Caenorhabditis elegans: one gene and its partners. The protein of the gene in region 3 purifies or fractionates together with the protein of the main gene of each other region. This does not show direct contact. Each region holds a gene or a part of one and is shown on either strand. Other genes may lie near its edges. The genes, in order: F43C11.8, pals-26, Y55F3BL.4 and gck-3.

The links.
Region 1: the proteins of Y55F3BL.4 (region 3) and F43C11.8 fractionate together in Caenorhabditis elegans (co-fractionation; one large-scale study listed by BioGRID). This does not show direct contact.
Region 2: the proteins of Y55F3BL.4 (region 3) and pals-26 fractionate together in Caenorhabditis elegans (co-fractionation; one large-scale study listed by BioGRID). This does not show direct contact.
Region 4: the proteins of Y55F3BL.4 (region 3) and gck-3 fractionate together in Caenorhabditis elegans (co-fractionation; one large-scale study listed by BioGRID). This does not show direct contact.

What each region holds. Positions count from the first base shown.
Region 1 is NC_003280.10:2,330,956-2,334,893, reverse strand, and holds F43C11.8 (RING-type domain-containing protein), read right to left. Parts: upstream 2,375-3,938; coding exon 2,299-2,374; intron 2,254-2,298; coding exon 2,087-2,253; intron 1,975-2,086; coding exon 1,906-1,974; intron 1,380-1,905; coding exon 815-1,379; intron 770-814; coding exon 700-769; intron 649-699; coding exon 624-648; 3' UTR 556-623; downstream 1-555. Other genes in the region: ZK1240.1 (RING-type domain-containing protein), read right to left, coding at 3,180-3,200, 3,252-3,292, 3,344-3,653, 3,708-3,762, 3,812-3,938.
Region 2 is NC_003281.10:4,373,180-4,379,433, forward strand, and holds pals-26 (Protein containing ALS2cr12 (ALS2CR12) signature), read left to right. Parts: upstream 1-2,144; 5' UTR 2,145-3,323; coding exon 3,324-3,329; intron 3,330-3,805; coding exon 3,806-4,006; intron 4,007-4,050; coding exon 4,051-4,305; intron 4,306-4,754; coding exon 4,755-5,135; intron 5,136-5,201; coding exon 5,202-5,654; 3' UTR 5,655-5,728; downstream 5,729-6,254.
Region 3 is NC_003282.8:803,312-806,792, reverse strand, and holds Y55F3BL.4 (SRR1-like domain-containing protein), read right to left. Parts: upstream 1,692-3,481; 5' UTR 1,661-1,691; coding exon 1,598-1,660; intron 1,545-1,597; coding exon 1,441-1,544; intron 1,187-1,440; coding exon 640-1,186; 3' UTR 557-639; downstream 1-556. Other genes in the region: Y55F3BL.6 (YqaE/Pmp3 family membrane protein), read left to right, coding at 242-367; mrpl-46 (Large ribosomal subunit protein mL46), read right to left, coding at 2,523-2,727, 3,315-3,403.
Region 4 is NC_003283.11:17,963,711-17,968,673, forward strand, and holds the start of gck-3 (Germinal center kinase 3), read right to left. Parts: upstream 3,054-4,963; coding exon 2,867-3,053; intron 1,609-2,866; coding exon 1,424-1,608; intron 28-1,423; coding exon 1-27. UniProt on the Caenorhabditis elegans protein: Plays a role in osmotic stress responses by regulating ion homeostasis and by controlling cell volume via the phosphorylation-mediated inhibition of the chloride channel clh-3.

The DNA of each region.
Region 1 (3,938 bases), on a different chromosome or scaffold from region 3:
GCTGCACTTGAAAATTTCCGGCAAATCGGCAAATCGGCAAATTGCCGGAATTTAAAACTAACTTACCAGTTTGCCGAATTTGCCGGAAAAACGGCAACTGTGGAACATTTTTTGCCAAATTGTGGTCTTGCACATTTTTTTGGAAGTTTCAGAATTTCAATTTTAATCGGTAAAATTGTACGCATCCTATGAATCTTCTTATATCTATTTTGAAATTGCCAAAATTGAAAATTTCCGGCAAATTGACGCAGTTGAAAATGTCTTCAAATCGGCAAACCGGAAAATTGCCGGAATTAAAAAATACCGATGAATTGGCAAACCAGCAAAATGCCGAAATTGATAATTTTCGGCAAATCGACAAACCGGCAAATTGCTGAAATTAAAAATTTCCGGCAATCGGCAAATTGCCAAAATTGAAAATCTCCAGCAAATTGCCGCATTTGAAAATTTCCGGCAAATCAGCAAACCGGCAAATTTGCCGATTTGCCGAATTTGTAGAAAAAAAACTCTGAAAAAGATTGGCCCATGTCTGTTCGCTTTTGAAGCGCAACAAAATCATCAATCACATTTTTATTTATGTACAAACATTTTCAATTAAATATCCTATAAAACCGTCGTTGGCATCAATCAGAGCAGCTAGCAGGTTGTCTGAAAAAAAAAACTTTTATATAAAAATTCATATTTCTCTCGTTAGCTTACCTCCTAGCCCTGCAAAATTCTTCAAACTCGCGAGACAAATTGTTGTCAATTCTAGAAACTTTCGTGACTTCTGAAAAATCCAATTTTTCCAATCAATATTTTTTCAAAGACCTACGTATGACAAGCCTATCCATCTCTGGAAAAATCAGTGCTGCGTCAAAAACTTCAGGCTCAACATCAGCAAATTCAGTCCAGAGCTCATTCTCGCTGCTCACTTCCAGCGCAGAATTCACCGCGAGCAAATCTGCATTGCTCATTTTCATAAACAGCTTCAGCTCCGCACTTTTTCGCTTTTGCCGGTTCAAGGATTCCGATAGCTCTGCGATGAGCAGGTCGTTCGTGAAAAAGTTAGTTTCCGCGATGTTCTGAAGCGTCGCAAGAGCATCGTTTTCGAGAGCATCCAAGGTTTCTCGTATTGAAGCGTAGAAGGCTATTATCGAAACCTTTTTCTCTTGAAATACCTCCCCATCGTCGAGATTTGTTAGCTGAGCTGTTCCGATCTTTTCGATATTCGCATCAATTTTACTTGCCAGGTCTTCGGATCTTGAAAGCTTCCCGCTCAGAAACTGTCTCAACTTTGCCGCTTCTGATTGTAGTAGGCCTCGATTGTGTCCGGCGTGAGCTCCAAACTCTTCGCAGGTACGGCACATGAGCTTATCGCTAGATGAGCAGGTGGGCTCCTGGAAAGAATGCTAGTTTCTCAGGCAAGAAGAGGTGCATTTGGCTCTAGCTTCTGGCCCAAGTTTGGCGCAAAAAATAATAACTTGTTTCAGACGTTGAGCAAAAGTTGGGCAAAACTTGGATTCAAACTCCACCAAAGTTTAAAAAAAGGTTCAACCAACTCTGCCAAACTTCTACATAAGTTTGAAACGAAATAAGAGAAGTTTGGGCCAAACCTTTGGTGCAGCCTGAATCCGAGTTTTGCCAAAGTTTTGCCCAAGTTTAGCAAACTTCTGATCCAAGCTAATATTTTTTGGGCAAAACTTGGCCAAGAATTTATAGCCAAATGCCGAGCTTGACCACAAAAGTTGAGCAAAATCTAGGCCAAGACTTTGGCCTGAACTAGGCTCCCACGTACCATTATTTTTTGGCTATTAACCTCGCACTCTCAGAAACCGGCGAGTTGTCGGCTGCTAATAGTAAGTTTTTTAAAAAATTTTTTACAGTTGACATTTTGGGGCCTATCAAAACCTATAAAGAACTCACAATGCACACAAATTCCGCAAAATTGTACTGGTGAGAAGCGCATTTTGGCGGTGAATCAATGGGATCTTTCTGAAAAATTTTATATTTGTATATAAATATATATATGTATATATAAATATATATATGTATATATATATATATATATATTTATATGTATAACTTTATTTCTAGAAAAAAAAACCTCTTCAGTTCTAGTCTTAGCGTGTTCAACTGCCTGTAACAATGCAAAATTCTTCTGCAAATCCTTCACTGTACTGACATTAGTTGCTTCCCGGCAGAATGGACATAAAATCATAGAGTTTTGGAGCAATTTTTCTGCACAACCATGGCAAATTGTGTGGCCACATCCTGAATTTTTATTTTTTAATTTTAGGAAAGGTAGCAAAAGCTTACTCAAAATCCTAGGAATATTTTCATCGGTGGCACTTGAGAAATCTTCGTTGCAAATTTCACACTCAATAAATGACATTTCGGAACTGTACGGAGGGTTGGAAAAATAAACGAATGGTCTTGGGAGTTCTCCCGCTGACACTGCGATAAGACGATAACAATTTGGTGACCAAGAATACACGGAAACCGGTAAATATTTTTTGCTGACTCATATCAGTTTAGATACACCATTTTCAACACTATTGCTAATTCTATGTGGTCAGTTACTACGGATTTCGTAATAGTTTTTCGTAAAATAAAACGTTTTCAGAGCCTGGCGCCTGCCTGAAACCTGCCGAGCACCTATAGCACTGTTTGTACGGGAGCGGGCTTATTTTAGAAAAATCGAAAAATCGAAAATTTTCGTTTTTTTTTTTGATTTTTCGAAATTTTTTTCTCTTATCAATAGAAAAAAAATTAGATAAAAATCGTATTTTATGATTAATTTTTAGATCATTTTTTTTTTCGATTTTTGGATTTTCCGGAAAATCGAAAAAACGTAAATTTTTGTTTTCCGATTTTCAAGTTTTCGAGACTTAGGCTTAGGCTTATGCTTAGGCTTTGATTTAGGCTTAGCCTTTGGCTTAGGATGAAGCTTAGGCTTAGACTTAAGCTTAAATGTAGGCTAGGCGGAGAAAAAAGAGATAAAAAATAAATCCTAGAAAATATGAGAACTCAGAAAAATAAAATACCAAAAAATTAGACATTTCAAAAATTTATATTGCCCGAAAAGGGCCAAAAAAATCAGGATTGGAGAGTTGAATTTTCGGTTGTTTATCGGTATTTGTACAAAGTAAAAAATGATTGAAAACTTTAAAACCAAAAAACTGCCTTGTTTGGAACATTCAAAGCCACAGGGTTATATTCTGAAATTCATGTACCTATAATACAAATGCTAAATTATCATTAAAACCTACATCTGGCTCCAGAGAGCTTGACATTGAAGCATTTGCCACATCTACAAAACTTCCTGACATTGATCTACCAACTTCCTTCCAAATCCACTTACCCACAGCTAACCTGTTCACTTCTGGAAAATTTAATGCTACATCAAACTGAATAGGCTCAACTTCTGTATTTTCCGAGTCATCCCAGAGCTGAATTTCTGAATTTAGAGCTAACAAATCCGCGTTGCTCATTCCCAGAAACGACTTTAATTTCTCGTTTTTCAATTTCTGGGTTTCCAGGGATTCCGACAATTCTTCTAGTAGTAATTTATTGCTAGCTGAATTGGATTCTGCAATTTCGCGTAGTTTTTGATTTGCAAGGGCTTCCTGGGCATCTAAGGTCTCTCGTATTGAGGTATAGTAGACGGATATCTGAAAATGTTCTGGAATTGTATTTCGTCCCCGTTTCAAAAAAAAATCACTAACCAAATCTTTTTTATCTTGAAACACCTTCCCATCTACTTGATTTGTTTGCTGGGCGCTGAAATTTCAGCGAGCTAAAATTGTGATCTACCGCTTTTTAAACTAACCTGTCAACCTCTTCAATGTTCTTGTCAATTTGAACAATCTGATCTTCGGACTTTAAAAGCTTATCTTTGAGCAACGTTCTCAATTTCAAAGCTTCCGTCTGTAGGAGGCCCTTCGAGTGTCCGGCGT
Region 2 (6,254 bases), on a different chromosome or scaffold from region 3:
CTCTTCTTTACACAACCGATACATCCTTCGTGTCATTCACAGCTACAAATATTTTCAAAATTCAAATTTTGCTGCGTGAATCAAAAATTGCAGTTTCAATCCTCCTCTTTGATCTACTCAAGGTCTCTCAAGCATTCAAGAAGATATGGATGTAAGTTGAAATTTAACACTAAATCTTCAATTTACGGAATAGATTTGATTATAAAAAATTAAAATTTGAATTCACATAAACTTCCAAACTAAATTTGTCGAAACAAAGTTGTCACTTCAAAACAAGTTAACGAATTCCGTCGAATGAAAACCGCAAACATTTAAACGAACAATTAACTTAACCTGAAATCTTTTGCAGAGTAATTTGAATGGAAATCAAAAGACACTAGCCGAAAGTCATACTAGAGCCGGCCAAATTCAAACACAAAGTGTGGGACATTTAGAGAGCATCAAATTGGATATGTTCTCTCAAAGGCAGTTTCTTCATGAGAAGAGCATCAAAACAGAGCAAGAACGTGCCTTAGAAATGAAAACTGTTAACGATGAAAATTTGAATATCGAATTGGAAATGAAGCAAAATAGAATGAATCACCAACAAAGAATTCAAAAGCAGAAATTATTGGACAGAAATGACGAATTGAAGTATAATTTGGGATGTGAAGAAGATGCGAAAGAGAGACATTTTATCAGTAGTGTTGAGGATACAAGAGCTGCTGGACAGAAGCTGTTCAGTTCGTTGAATCATCTTTGCTCAAGTGTACATTGTCTACAAACAAGCAACAATTCAAATAATCGGAATGATGTTGAAAAGAAAATTGGTAGTTGTATGGTGAGAACATATTGAAGTGTTAAATGAAAGAAACCTTAACATCACTTTGAAAGTGGTGTTTTGGTTAAATACTTTTTGTCACACTTGGCAATCTAACTTTCTATCCAAATATTGCAAAAAATGGGAATATATCTATGTATTTGGAAAAAGTGTGCTTAATTTGAGCAAGACTTTACTGAGTCCGGGCCGGAGTCTCGTCTTCGGTTCAACTTATGCATATCTTCTTCCAAGACTTTAACTGTGTCTCCCTTGATTTTGGATATGATGTCAGTAAGAAATTCATTTTAGGGCCAAGAAATATTCACTTCATTCAAAGATTGGCAACACTTGATAAGAACAAGTTTGATCCAACTCTTGCAAATGTTTTACCAATGTTGAAAACGGCACAAAAAGTCTGCCTAATACATTGACAAGGTTTAACTTTGATTTCTGAGTACGTTTCTATAATTTAATACGCCTGAAAATACGGATTTGGTTAATGACTTCTAATTAACGGTCAGTATCTAACTTATTTCAGGCCTATATTGGCAAAGTCGAAAAGACAATAATTCCTTTCTAGGATGCAGTGCGAACTTTACAAGACCAATATAAGCTGGAACTGTGAATGTTCAAGAAATTCACAACAAGACAGGCACGCTGGAACAGAGCATCTCTCGATTTCAAAATTATTTGAAAGATGGTTACATTGATAATAATATTTCAACCTACAAAGATGTTTTGGAATCAACATCAGGCTTGATTGAAATTGTGAATTCACTTCCATCAATTGCTAAAAGTAATCACGGTACAACTGCTATAACTGAGAGTTTTAAGCAAACTATTCAAAGTTCAAACAGCGATATATGTGTTCAACAATCTACAACTCTTGTTGTACAAGTTACTGAAAACGTTGAAGTGTCCGTTGGAAAAAGAGATAAGCTAATAATTCTTAGTATTATTCCATTCTTCGTCTGTGCGCTAATTGATTTGTTTCGTTAATGGCAATAATTTTTTTCAAATTGTGTTTACCTTTGTTTTAAGGTGTTCAAAAAATTTATGCCCCGTAGTATTATTCAAATTTACTGTTAAATTGCATTCCCTCTATTCTTATATATGTATACTGAATAAATTATTGATATTGAGGCACATATTTATTGGAATTCAAAACGTGTTTGGCATGGAACACCTATGTATCTTTATATTTTGCTATTGAAAATTAGACATCACCGTCTTCATTAGATATTTCATTCGGTCAAGGCGTAACAGGGCCTCTCACTCGCACTATAAAAGCAGCGTTTTGAGAATATTTTCAGCACTGTTGTTGAAAGTTATTGAACTTTGGCAATAAATTTTATTTATCTCCAGGCTCAGAAATGTGATTTTCCTAACAATAAACCTAAAAATATAAACAAATTTGAGACTTTCTTCCGGGGGCGTTATCCGGGGACTATACTCCTTCACTATTAAACATACATACATATATACCAAATTATATCTCTATTCCTTTTGTAATATTGCCCCACGTTGTTCAAATTTGACTTTTATAGTTCCATTGTCGTGTGTTCTATCAATAGCTTGTCAACTGACAAAATTTTTTAAAATTATATTTCTATTTATAGTTTGTCGCTTATTATTTATTACTAGGTCCCAAACGAAGTATAACTATTCTAAGTACAGCAGTGAGATGCAAAACTAATAGAAAAATGCGGTAAGTACAATAATAATTTATTCGATAATCTTATATGTAGTTTAATTTTTTGAAATATGTTTAAAATTGTCTAATTCAAATGCACAAAACAAATGTATACCTACAAAATCAAGAGAATTATAGAGGCTGGCTGGGCTAAATAACTTTTATTACGATTTAAGAGACATTTGCCGTTTGTTCAGAGGAAACGGCTTATAAACAATGAAAGAGGGCGGAGAAATAAATAGATAACACAAATGTCGTGGGATGGCAAAACTCTATATTGCGATATCAATTTAGACAATCAACAATATCTGACTATGAGTCATGACGGAAGGGCGAAGTCTTCCCCATGATGCTGCATCCGTTCTAATGACTAATATTATTTTTGAAAATCTGCATTCTCAGCAAACAACGATTCTTATCATCAAAATGCATGTGTCGCTTTAGAATATAAAACTGAGGAAATGTTTACCATTTTGTCTCCAGGTTCCTTAGTCTTCCTCACTCTTGTTTTTCTTTAAAACAACGGATTTTAGCGCCAGTAAAATCTATTAAGACTAAAATTTCAAACAGATAAAAACTATTAGGCAAAATGAGAATTTATCTGACATTTGAGTAAATGTAAAACTTTAAGTTTCCCTTGCAAAAAAGATGAAGGTTTTCATTGCTATGTCTTAATTTGTTATCACAATTTGAATTTGAATTTGTTTACACCAGTACCTTGCTAGCCGTAAAATGTTGTTTTTCCTCTTACCCATTCTATTTTTCTGTTGGTTTCTGAATTGACATTTTTCAGTTTCAACTTTTCTATTCGGCAAATTCAAAGAGACAATCATGGGAGTAAGTTGAAGTTTCTTCTTTTGTAAATATAATCTTAGATTTAATAGATATTAAATAATTTGAATTATAAAATTTTTAAATATACATATATACATATCATTTGCAAAATATTCCAAAACTGATCATTTTTATTGTTAGTCAAAAAGTTGTAAAAACTCAGTTTTCACCTACCACAATTTTGGATATGAACCAACAAAAAAGTTTTCCATGATTTTGAAATTTTACTTCCTCATTTATTGTTTGTTTTAACATTTTAGAGGTTTGAAAAACTGAAATTTTTGAAACTTTTTGGCACATTACCAAAACGTAGTGTGAATTTTTCGAAAAATCTGAAAGTTTTTTGGAAATGCTGAAATTTTAAAACGATGATCGGTGATTTCAAACTAATCCCCACTAAAAAACATTTTGAAGTCAAAAATTAACAAATTTTGAAACAATGGAAATACATTTTTGAACATGTGAAAAAATATTTCTAGGGCGGTGGTTCCAAAGCTGACAATGAGGCCATTGCTCAAGACATGCGAAATAACATGCAACCTGAACGTGAGCGCCGGCAAAGGGAGCTTGAAGCTTTAGAAAGGGAAGCGGAAAGACAGGCAGCAGCACGAGCAGAATTGAGAAGACAAGAGGAAGCAAGTCAGATTGCTGAACAAAACAGGAAGGATGAAATGATGAAGGTTTGAGATTTCCAATAACTTTTAATCTGGAAAAATGATTTCAGAAAATATTGGAGCAAAGTCAGAAGACTCGGGCAGAAGATCAAGCAAGAGCTGATCAAATTCGAACTCAAAACGAGGAGAATTTGAAAGAAGCAGTTGCAAGTGGAAATCAGCTTCTTGATAATCAGAGAATTGTGAATCAAGCAGAAGTTACAAAACGATTGACGGATCATCAAAATTTAATGACACGGGAACAGGGAAGACTGGCTGAAACTGAAAAGAAAATTGAGGAAAATGTTGTGGATATGAAGAATAAGGTTAGTTGGAGATAGGAATTTTAATTTCAAATTAATTATTTAAAAAAATAATTAAGACCGTCAGGAAGAGTAAATAAAGAAAAAATAAGATTCGAGTCACGTTTTGATCGAAAAAAAATATATTATGCGACTTTTCCAAAGTTTGTATAATATTTTTGAAAACTTCTGAAACTTCCTGCTTAAAGAAATTTTAGAATTATTTATATAGCTTCTATAATATAATAGCTTCTATACTAGAATAATAGCTTCTGATCTCCATAAATATTTCTGGAATAAATCGGAAATTTCCGAAAGTATCTAGAAAGATTTCGACTTTTTTGGAAAATTCTGAAAATTTTTACTATATTTCATAAGGCTCTAGGACTTTATTGAAAAAATAGTCTAACATTTACGCAAAAGCTATTTATTTTTGGAAAATTTGAAAAATCATTTTAAAATTATATTTTCAGAAAGCAGAAGCTCAAGAAAAGTTGCACAGCGAGAAGAAAGAATACGATGAGAAAAAGCTCCAGAAATCTGAAGAAAATGCTCTGAAAATTGAAGATTTGCACAAACAAACTGCACAACTTGAAATTGAAAAAGAAAATAATGCAATCGAGCACCAGAATAGAATCCATGGAATGGAGAAGCTATTTAAATTGGATAAATACAATATTCATGTGGCTGGTGGCAAAGACACTCGTGAAAGTCATTTTATTGACGCTGTTAATAATACACGAAGTGCTGGTGGAGAACTATCGAATGCAGTGGTTTCTTTGGGTTCAAACGCATATTGTCTACAAAAGGGAAAAGAAGCGAAGAACGTAGTAAAGCATATTAATTCATGCAAGGTATGATTGCGAAAAGTTCATGCCTGCCTACCCGCCTATCACAGCAATTCATATTCCAACTTTCAGACATCTCTACGTCGGATCAAGGAGAAGCTCAACAATCTGAAATATTCTGCAAGAACAATCAGAGATCAAGATGAATCAGAAAACGTCAATGTTGCGAAATGTCATGAAGTAGCACTCTACATTCAAGAAGAAGCATCACCTCTGGAACAGGCTATTTTTCGATTTGAGAGTTCTTTGGAATTTGATCCAATCGAAAACTCCATTGAATTATATGATGAGATTCACAGACTGAATGCAAGTTTGTACAAAACTGTGAACTCGCTTCCGTTGGTTTCTCGAAGTTATCATGCAATTACTGAAATCTCCAGAAGTACTGCACGCGCAGTTCTTAATGCTGATAATTCGAAACTTAGTATTCAACAATCTGAAACTGTTGTTGTGCAGCAGAGCATTGAGGATGGAGAAATGGAAGTGGATGCAGTCGTGGAGGAAATTCAAGCGATTGAGCAATAAATTGAACAATATTTTCAGTTACGTTAATCCAACCTACACCCTACACCTTACACCGACTTATAAATTTCTTTTCTAAAAACAAGTGGTCTGAAGGTATTGAGAAGGCTGTGTATACGTGTCAACTCACAAGCGCAGTCCGGCCACTGCACCGCGCGGTGGCTTTTGTCTGCTACCTTTCGGTCCTGAACCATCCACCACTCCTTATGCACCCGGGACTGACCATCTTCCGACAGTCATCCCCTGGTGACGCAGCGCTTGGCACGGACGCTCGGTCGACGTTGACAACGACATACACAGGACTCCTCCTCTCACTCCATCCACACTTATCTACCGTCAAGAAGCTGACTCACAAGCGCCCGCCACGACGCTCGGTGGTTTTTCCCGACTAGCGAGAAAATATAACAGAGGGGTATATCGAGAGAGTAATGGACGGAATAGAGACGACAGAGAACATGACAGTCGTTTACCACGTCCGATTTTGCAGGGGTTTGCGGAAAATTGTTTTATTAGAAATTTCTCTTTAAACAAATTATATATATATATATATATATATATATATATACAAAAATACAAAATATACAAAAACTCTTTCTTTTTAAT
Region 3 (3,481 bases):
TATTTCCGGTGGAATACTGGAGCATCGTTGCGGAAATTATCGAATTTAAGATGACTAGTGGAAAATCGATAAACCGATATTCGGCGTTGCTTATTGCAGTGTTTTTGGAGAGCTTTAACGTTAAAAATTTGAATTCCCGCCAAATCTCCTGCGCACTAAACAACGCGCACCACCATATCGGAGTGTCATTTGAAACCCAATATCAATCAAGACGGAAATTTGAGTTTTTTGAGTTTTTCAGCCAATTTCCGTACTTCTGACGTCTGGTTGTGGGCTCCATTTGCTGCTCAGCATACTTCTCACATGTCTCTTTGTTATTCCAGGAATAATTCACGCATTGTACCTTGTTTGTTGTCATAAACATTGATTTTTAGAAAAAAAGTCTTGTCGAAGGTAGTAGAGCACTGGCGTGCTAGCGGAACATCGGAGTGTTGTTTGAAAATCGATTTTCAGACGACATTAATAAAAAATCGATTTTTCCAACAAAAAAAAACCATCAATGAAAACTCCGATTTTTACGGAAAAATCGTTTTTTTACAGAATAAACTATGAAAAATCGAATTAAAAAAAATTTATTTTTTCTACAAAAAAAAAACGAAAAAATGGTTTTAAAAATCGATATTTTTTAAACAAAAAAGTTTATTGATTATCACAAGAAGACATAATAACAGTACTGGAAAACGCGTTGGAATTCGGTTCGTAGATCGCCGGAAACGCGGTGATTATCGATTTTTCGCAAAATTCCGTGATTTTAGGCATTTTTTCGCGATTTTTCGACAATTCCCAGTTGGCACCGCCGTAGTCGTTGCCGATCACAATTAGATTATCGATTTTTCCGGCGTTAAATTCTAAAAATTCGTTGAAAATCTCGTGTTCTCCGTGGATGAATGCGAAAATCGATAACATCGATGATATCGATTTTTCCTCGCAAATATCGATTTTTGCGTCCATTTCTCGACGAATCTCAACGTTTTTTGATTCGAGCCATTTGAGCTCCGTGGCAGAGCACACTGGCTCTTGGAAAATGATGGGACACTGGAATTGCTCAGAAATTTCCAGGAAAAGAGCAAGTTGGTGGGCTCCGGGCTCCGTTGAGCCGTCGAAATGACCGTTTCCGATGACGTAGATGGTTTGGATTTTTTGGTGGGGGGAGATGAGGAGTTGGAGCTTGTGGTGGAGCCAGGTGCTGGAAAATTTGAGATTTTGGAAACAAAATAATTAAATTTTTTTTTGCTAAAATAAAAAAAAATTTGCGAAAAAAATAGTTTTCTTAAAAAAATTGAATTTGTTTAAAAAATTTTTTTTTATTTTCAAAAAAAAATTTTTTCGAAATTCTAAAATTTTAATTTCTGAATCTTAAATTTTTATGTTTTTCAGTTTCAGAACCTAATTTCTTATCAAAATCTCGGTTTTTTGTTCACAAAAAGGACCATAACCTACCCCAATCCGCTTTTCAGAATCCCATTTTTCGCCAATTCCATAGCTTTTTCGATACTTTCCAGTGTTCCATCAACTCGAATATGCTTTCCATTTTCTGTTTTTTTCTGAAATTTAAATTTGTAAAAAATCGATAATTTGTTTTTTGGAGAAAACTGACAAATTTCGCCGACTGTTTTCCGGCTTTTCTACCAGTGACCAGGGTGAATCCGTCGTCTTCCATTTTTTGGTTTTTTTGGCTGAAAATATGGAAGAAGAAGCTTTAATCAGTTGATTATGTGTAAAAACCATGAAATTTTTGAAAAGATAGTTCTGAAATTTTCACAAAATATTTTTTTTTTCAAAATTTCCAAAAAAATTTTTTTTTTGAATTTTTGGTTTTTATTTTAAAATTTGGTTTAAAGTCTGCTGAATTCACATAAAAATTTAAAATTTTGACACAAAATTGATATTTTAAGTGAAAATCTTATTGGTGACCTAACTTTTTCTGCAATGGAGGACTAGAATCGCGAATTTGCCGAAAACCAGGCTCCCGACTTGAAATTTCAGTAATTTTTTTCAGGAATTAAAAAACCCACAGAAAAATTTCGAAAATTGTTTTTTTTCTTTCAAAAATCGATTTTTTATTGAATCAAACAATCAACAAATAATAATAAAAGCCTTCTAAAAAATAAAAACTACGAACAAATGAGAAAAATCGATAAAAATAAAGGGAAAATGTACGGAAATTGAAGATTTTAAGCTTAATTAGGTCACCAAAAAAATTTTTTTGAAGCCTTCCAGATTTTAAATACTTAAGAAAATTCGCAAATTTGAGCTCAGGGAGTAGAAAAAGCTCGGCCACCAGATTTTTTGTTCGCAAAAAAATCGAATTTTTCAGAAAAAAATTAAATTTTCAGTAATTTTTAAGATCTTCTACCAAAATTCCAAATAAAAAGACAAATTTGAGAGAGCGGACTAGAAAAAGATCGGCCACCGAATTGTTTAGAGCTGAAAATTCAATATTCACTCAAAATTCTTCAATTTTTCACATTTTTCTGTCGTCGATTTTCTCACAATTTTAACACAAAAAAAAATCAATTAAATTATTCCAAAAATGCAAATTTCGCAGCTTTCTTATATTCAGTTCCAGGTACAGTCTTCCAAAACTCCTCTCGATTCACCCATTGATAATCAGTGACGTCATCTGGATTTACTTGGAATTCCGTCGGAATTGTCGATAAATTTGCAGTGTAGAAGAAGATTTTGGCTCCGCGAGCACCGGTTTTCTGGGAGATTGGTGTGGGGTATCTGAAAATTGAGAAAAATTTAAATATTCATAATTTTCAATTTTGAGAATTTATTTTCTCTAAAACTCTGATTTTTTCGCGAAAATTAGAGACCTCTCACATGTAAATACCCTTAAAACATCTTTTTTTGCGATAAAAATTGCTTTTTTTTTCTGAATTTTTCACTGAAATATCGGCCAAAAAATGACCGAAACTTTTAGTTTTTTTGCTAAATTTGTAAAAAAAAAAACAGTTTTTATTAGAAAACTGTCTGAAAATGTTTTGAAAGTTTTTAATTTTTGAAAACTTCAAAATTCTTGAAAATTCACTATTTTTCCATATTTATGCTATTTGTTAGATTAATTTAATTTTAATTCACAATTTTCGATTTATTTCAGGAAAATATCGTAGAAAATTCGGAAAAAACCGATTTTTAATTTTTTTTTTTTGGACAAAAAATTAAAGTTTCCTCAAATTCGTTTCAACAGTTTACGTTTTTGAGAAATTTCCTCTGAAATTTTTTTTTTCGTAATTTTATATTTTTTTTCTCGATAAATCCGCAAATTTCCAGATTTTTGCTCCATTTTTCGAAAATTTCCAGGTATCAACCTATGCGTGAACACTCCAAATGGTGCATTTCCACTGATATCGGCACTCAAATCGGTCCCGGATAGCTCTCCAATGCATCGTTCGGCTGTCTGAAAAAATTTTTTTTAATGTTTTTTTTTTGAAATTTTTCATTTTTTTTCAAATTTTCAGAAAAATTCGATTTCAGC
Region 4 (4,963 bases), on a different chromosome or scaffold from region 3:
TTTCTCGTTTCGTGGAAGGCAGTAGGCCTGCAAAAAAATTGTGGGAATTTTAAAGGTAGAGCCGACCGAAATTTGAGACTTTTGCTTTTTTAGACCCAAATTTGGTCCAGATCTCCGAATTTTGTAATGAGACATTCTGAAAATTTCTCAAAAAAAAGTTATGGCGGTTCAAAGTTTGGCAAAATAAAGCCCATATTCAGCTAAAATCAATATTTTTTCCAACTTCTCAGTGTCACAATGCCTGGAACCTAATTCTTATTTAATTATCACTTTTTAATAAATATTGTGGTTTTTGAGTGGGCGTTTATTCGTTGATTTAGGTACATTTATGGTCTTTGGGGTACAAAATTTAACTTTTATTTGTGCCCCACTGACATATGTACTTAAATCAACGAATAAACGCCCACTCAAAAACCACAATATTTATTAAAAAGTGATGAATAAATAAAAATTAGGTTCCAGGTATTGTGGCACTGAGAAGTTGGAAAAAATTTTGATTTTAGCTAAAAATGAGCTTTATTCGGCCGAACCGCCATAACTTTTTTTTTGAGAAATTTTCAGAACGTCTCATTACAAAATTCGGTAGTTTTGGACCAATTTTAATAAAACATTAATAAAACAAAAGTCTCGATACTCACCACCTTAAAGTAAAATTAGGTGAAAATCAACATTTTCACCACTTTTCTCTTGAAAAAAACGAGATTTTTCGGAAAAATTTAAATTTCCCGCCGAAATTTGGGGTTTTCTAGCGATTTTTCCGGGTTTTTCCAAAGACAAATTAAAATTTTGGCTGAAAAATTGAATTTTTCAGATTCAAATTCGTTTTTCTGAAGGTGTCCAGTTGAAAAATGTGGAATTTTTACGCAAAAATTCAATTTTTGATGGATTTTTCGTTATTTTGCTCATTTTTGAGAGGAAAATCACGGCTCACTTCGTGGTGAGACCCGTCGAAAATTTTTTTTCGGGGGAAATTTAAATTTTCTGAGAAAAAACAATTTTTTGGCGGGAAATTCAAATTTTTTGAGAGAAAAAAAAATTTTTTGACGGGAAATTTAAATTTTCTGAGAAAAAAAAATTTTTTTGGCGGGAAATTTAAATTTTCTGAGAAAAAAAAATTTTTGGCGAGAAATTTAAATTTTCTGAGAAAAAAAAAATTTTCGGCGGGAGATTCAAATTTTCTGAGAAAAAAAAATTTTTCGGCGGGAAATTCAAATTTTTTGGCGGGAAATTTTAATTTTTTTAGAAAAAAAAATTTTTTTTGACGGTTAGAAATTGTAATTTTCGCCATTTCGCCACTTTTCCGGAGATTTTCAGTACAAAAAGTGGATTTTTTTTTGCGTTTTTTTACCCGAATTTTTGTCTAAAAATTCGGCTTTTTTTGACATAGAAATTGTAATTTTCAGTCAAAAAAGAAGCAGCATACAGTAAAAACGGTAGCAGTTGCTCCAACTCCAATCGACTCATCCAACTTATAAGCCGACGGTTCTGTTGGCCATCGATCGGCCGGATTAAGCTGTGCAACAAGTGCAGCTGATGCTGCTGCAGCTGCCGCAATCGGTGATGATACTTGAGGTGGTGGTGGTGGTGGTGGTTGGGATGGTTGTGATCCTGCAACAACAAAAAAATTAGGGGTGAAATTCATTTTTTGGGCCTAAAAATTGCGCGATTTTTGAATTTTCTCACCTTTTTTGTAATTTTTTTTTTGGTTTTTTCAAAAAACCATTTTGGTTTTTAAGGTAAAAATTGAAAATTTTTACATGGAACATTCAATGTTGTATGTACTTAAAAATGTAATTTTTAAGCAGAAAATTCGATTTTTTTTCAGCTCAAAAATTAAATTTCGTTGAAAAATTCGACTTTTTACACATTTAAAAAGGTAATTTTTACCGGGAAAAACGTTTTTTTTTTAAACAAAAAAAAATGTATAAAAATCGAATTTTTAAACTAAATTAAAACATTTTTGGAGTAAAAATAAATTTCAAATGAAGAAATAGAGTTTATCTGCCTAAAAAATCATATTTCCTCGACAAAAATTGAAAATTTTAGAGTAAAAATTGAATTTTGTACTCAAAAATGACATTTTTAAACAGATTTCGTTGAAAAATTCGACTTTTCACAGGAAAAACTCTTTTTTTCTTCTTGAAAAATCAATTTTTCCGATTAAAAAAATTTGTTTTTTTTTCACAAAAATCGGAAATGTAGATTTTATAAATTTAATTGATTTTAATTGAAAATATTAGGGTTTTCCAAGTGAAAATTGGTTTTTTTTATGTGAAAAATCAAATTTTTCAGCTAAATTAAATTTTTAGAGTGAAAATCGAATTTTTCCGCCAAAAAATTATATTTCCATGAAGAAATTGTACATTTTAGAGCAAAAAAAAATCGAATTTTTTATTAGAAAAATTAAATTTGATCGTAAAAATTCGTTTTTTTTTCTCAAAAATGTAATTTTTTAAGGAGAAAAATTGATTTTTCACTACAAAACTTCAATTCCGTTGAAAAATTCAATTTCCTACAAAAAAAATTTATTTATACCCAAAAAACCAATTTTTCAAAGCAAAAAATACATTTTGTACCGGAAAATTTCAATTTTATTGTAAAAATTAATTATTTTCCTCACAAAATACCAACTTTAGAAGGAGAAAGATGTAATTTTTACTTTAAAAATTCATTTTTAACTTAAAAAAATTATTTTCGATTTTTTAAATTTAAATAAAAATTAAATTTTACTGGACCTGCAAAAATAATCGGGAAACCCCAATTTTTATTGAAATTTCTACTTTTTCTTCGGAAAAATTATTAGATTTCAAGCTAGAAATTGCCATTTTTCACATTTTTCGACCGCAAAAAAAATCCAAAAAAGCACCATGAAGTGTCGACGTTGATCCGATGCTCGATAATGTATCAGTGTTAAATGTTCCAGTTGTTGTCTGTGTTGTCGAGTATTCTGATGTTATTGTTGAAGCATTTGCAGCTGAATGAGCAGCTGCTGCAGAAGCTGCTGATGATGTAGTTGTAGTATTCGTGTTTCCTGCCAGATTCGAAGAGCTCATTTTTTATATTTTTGATTTATTATATATTAATTTATATTGTTGATGATGATGATGATGTACACAGGACAACACACGTATGAGACTCTGAAATTTTTTAATACAATATTAATAAATTAATTGATATCATTAATCAGTAATATCATTAAGGATATAGTAGATTTGAAAAAAAAAAAAAAAAACGGCTGGAAACTAACTTTTTGTAATCACAGTCTAATTTTGGGTCCGATAGTTCACTGCAACTTTTTCCTCACGAGGGACGAGGAAAAGTGGTTTCTAGGCCATGGCCGAGGGGCCGACAAGTCGGCCATTTATCTTGCTTTGTTTTCCGCCTGTTTTCTTTCGTTTTTCATCGATTTTTTTCGTTTTTTCTTAATAAAACTGATAAATAAATATTTTTGCAGATGCTAAAACAATTTCCAAGTGAAAAAATTATGTATTCAGTGGGCAAGCAGCGGTGAAAGAGGGCAATGTAATATGATGGATTACGGGAATACAAAACCTAAACTTTTTCTGAAACATGATACATATGATGCTTAGATGCTGAAATTACCTGATTTTCATAACGAGACCGCTGAAAAAGTTTTGAGGTTTTCAAAATTCAACTTTTTGTGCGAAAATCTCGACTTTTTCACCAAAAAAGTTGAATTTTGGAAACCTCAAAACTTTTTCAGCAGACTCGTTATGAAAATCAGGTAGTCTCAGCATTTAAGCAGCATATGTATCATGTTTCAGAAAAAGTTTAGGTTTTGTATTCCCGTAATCCATCATTTTACATTGACCACTTTCACCGCTGCTTGCCCACTGAATACATAATTTTTTTACTTGGAAATTGTTTTAGCATCTGCAAAAATATTTATTTATCAGTTTTATTAAGAAAAAACGAAAAAATCGATGAAAAACGAAAGAAAACAGGCGGAAAACAAAGCAAGATAAATGGCCGCTGAAACTTGTCGGCCCCTCGGCCATGGCCTAGAAACCACTTTTCCTCGTCCCTCGTGAGGAAAAAGTTGCAGTGTCAGTTGAAGAGGAAAAAAAAAGGAAGTTTTCACTCAAATATGACTCAAAAATCTGGATTTTTGAGCTTAAAAATTCAATTTCCAAAGAAATTTCCAAGTTATATATACGTAAATGTTTTTTTCGCTAAACAAAATTTTCAGCTCCGTTGAACATTTTGGTTTAAGGCCGAACAATATTTAAAGATTTTTCAGGCTTGAAATCATCCAATTTTTGAGCTAAAAAACGTGTTGCTTTTAGCTCGGGAAATTGAGATTTTATAGCTTAAAAATTATTTTTGAGATTTTAATAATTACACGACGGTGTTTTTCTGGATTTTTGCTCCAAATAGTAAAAATTACGGATATCTTAAGTTTCAATTGAAATTTTTGCGCGCTAAAAGTTCATTTTCAGCCAATTTCTCTCTAGAATTTCATTTCAAAAAAACCTTCAAATTGGGGAAAATCGTATTTTTACAAGAGTCTTTTTAGTCCGAAAACTGGATTTTCTAAATAGTTTATTTACCAAAAAAAATCCAGCTTTTCGCTGTTTTTTTTTTTTGTAAAAATACTTCATTTTGAAGACTTTCGATCGATTTTCTTCATTTTTAGGGGGAATTTCTACCAGTAATTTCCAGCGAAATTTTACATGGAAAAAAGCTCCAAATTTCAAATTTTCAGGAGCAGGAAAAAAATCATAAAAAAATCAAAGATATTTTCAGCCGGTACACATTGGAAACCGCTCTTTTCGTCTGAAAACACACACACAGAAATAAATAAATACAATATAGAATTGATTTAATCGCCTTAAAAATGCCACTTTTTCAGTGAACAAATTATAAATTTAGATGAGAAGGCAGGGAAATTCTATTCCAACAGCGGAAAAATTGGGGAAAAAAATCAATAAATTTGTCACAA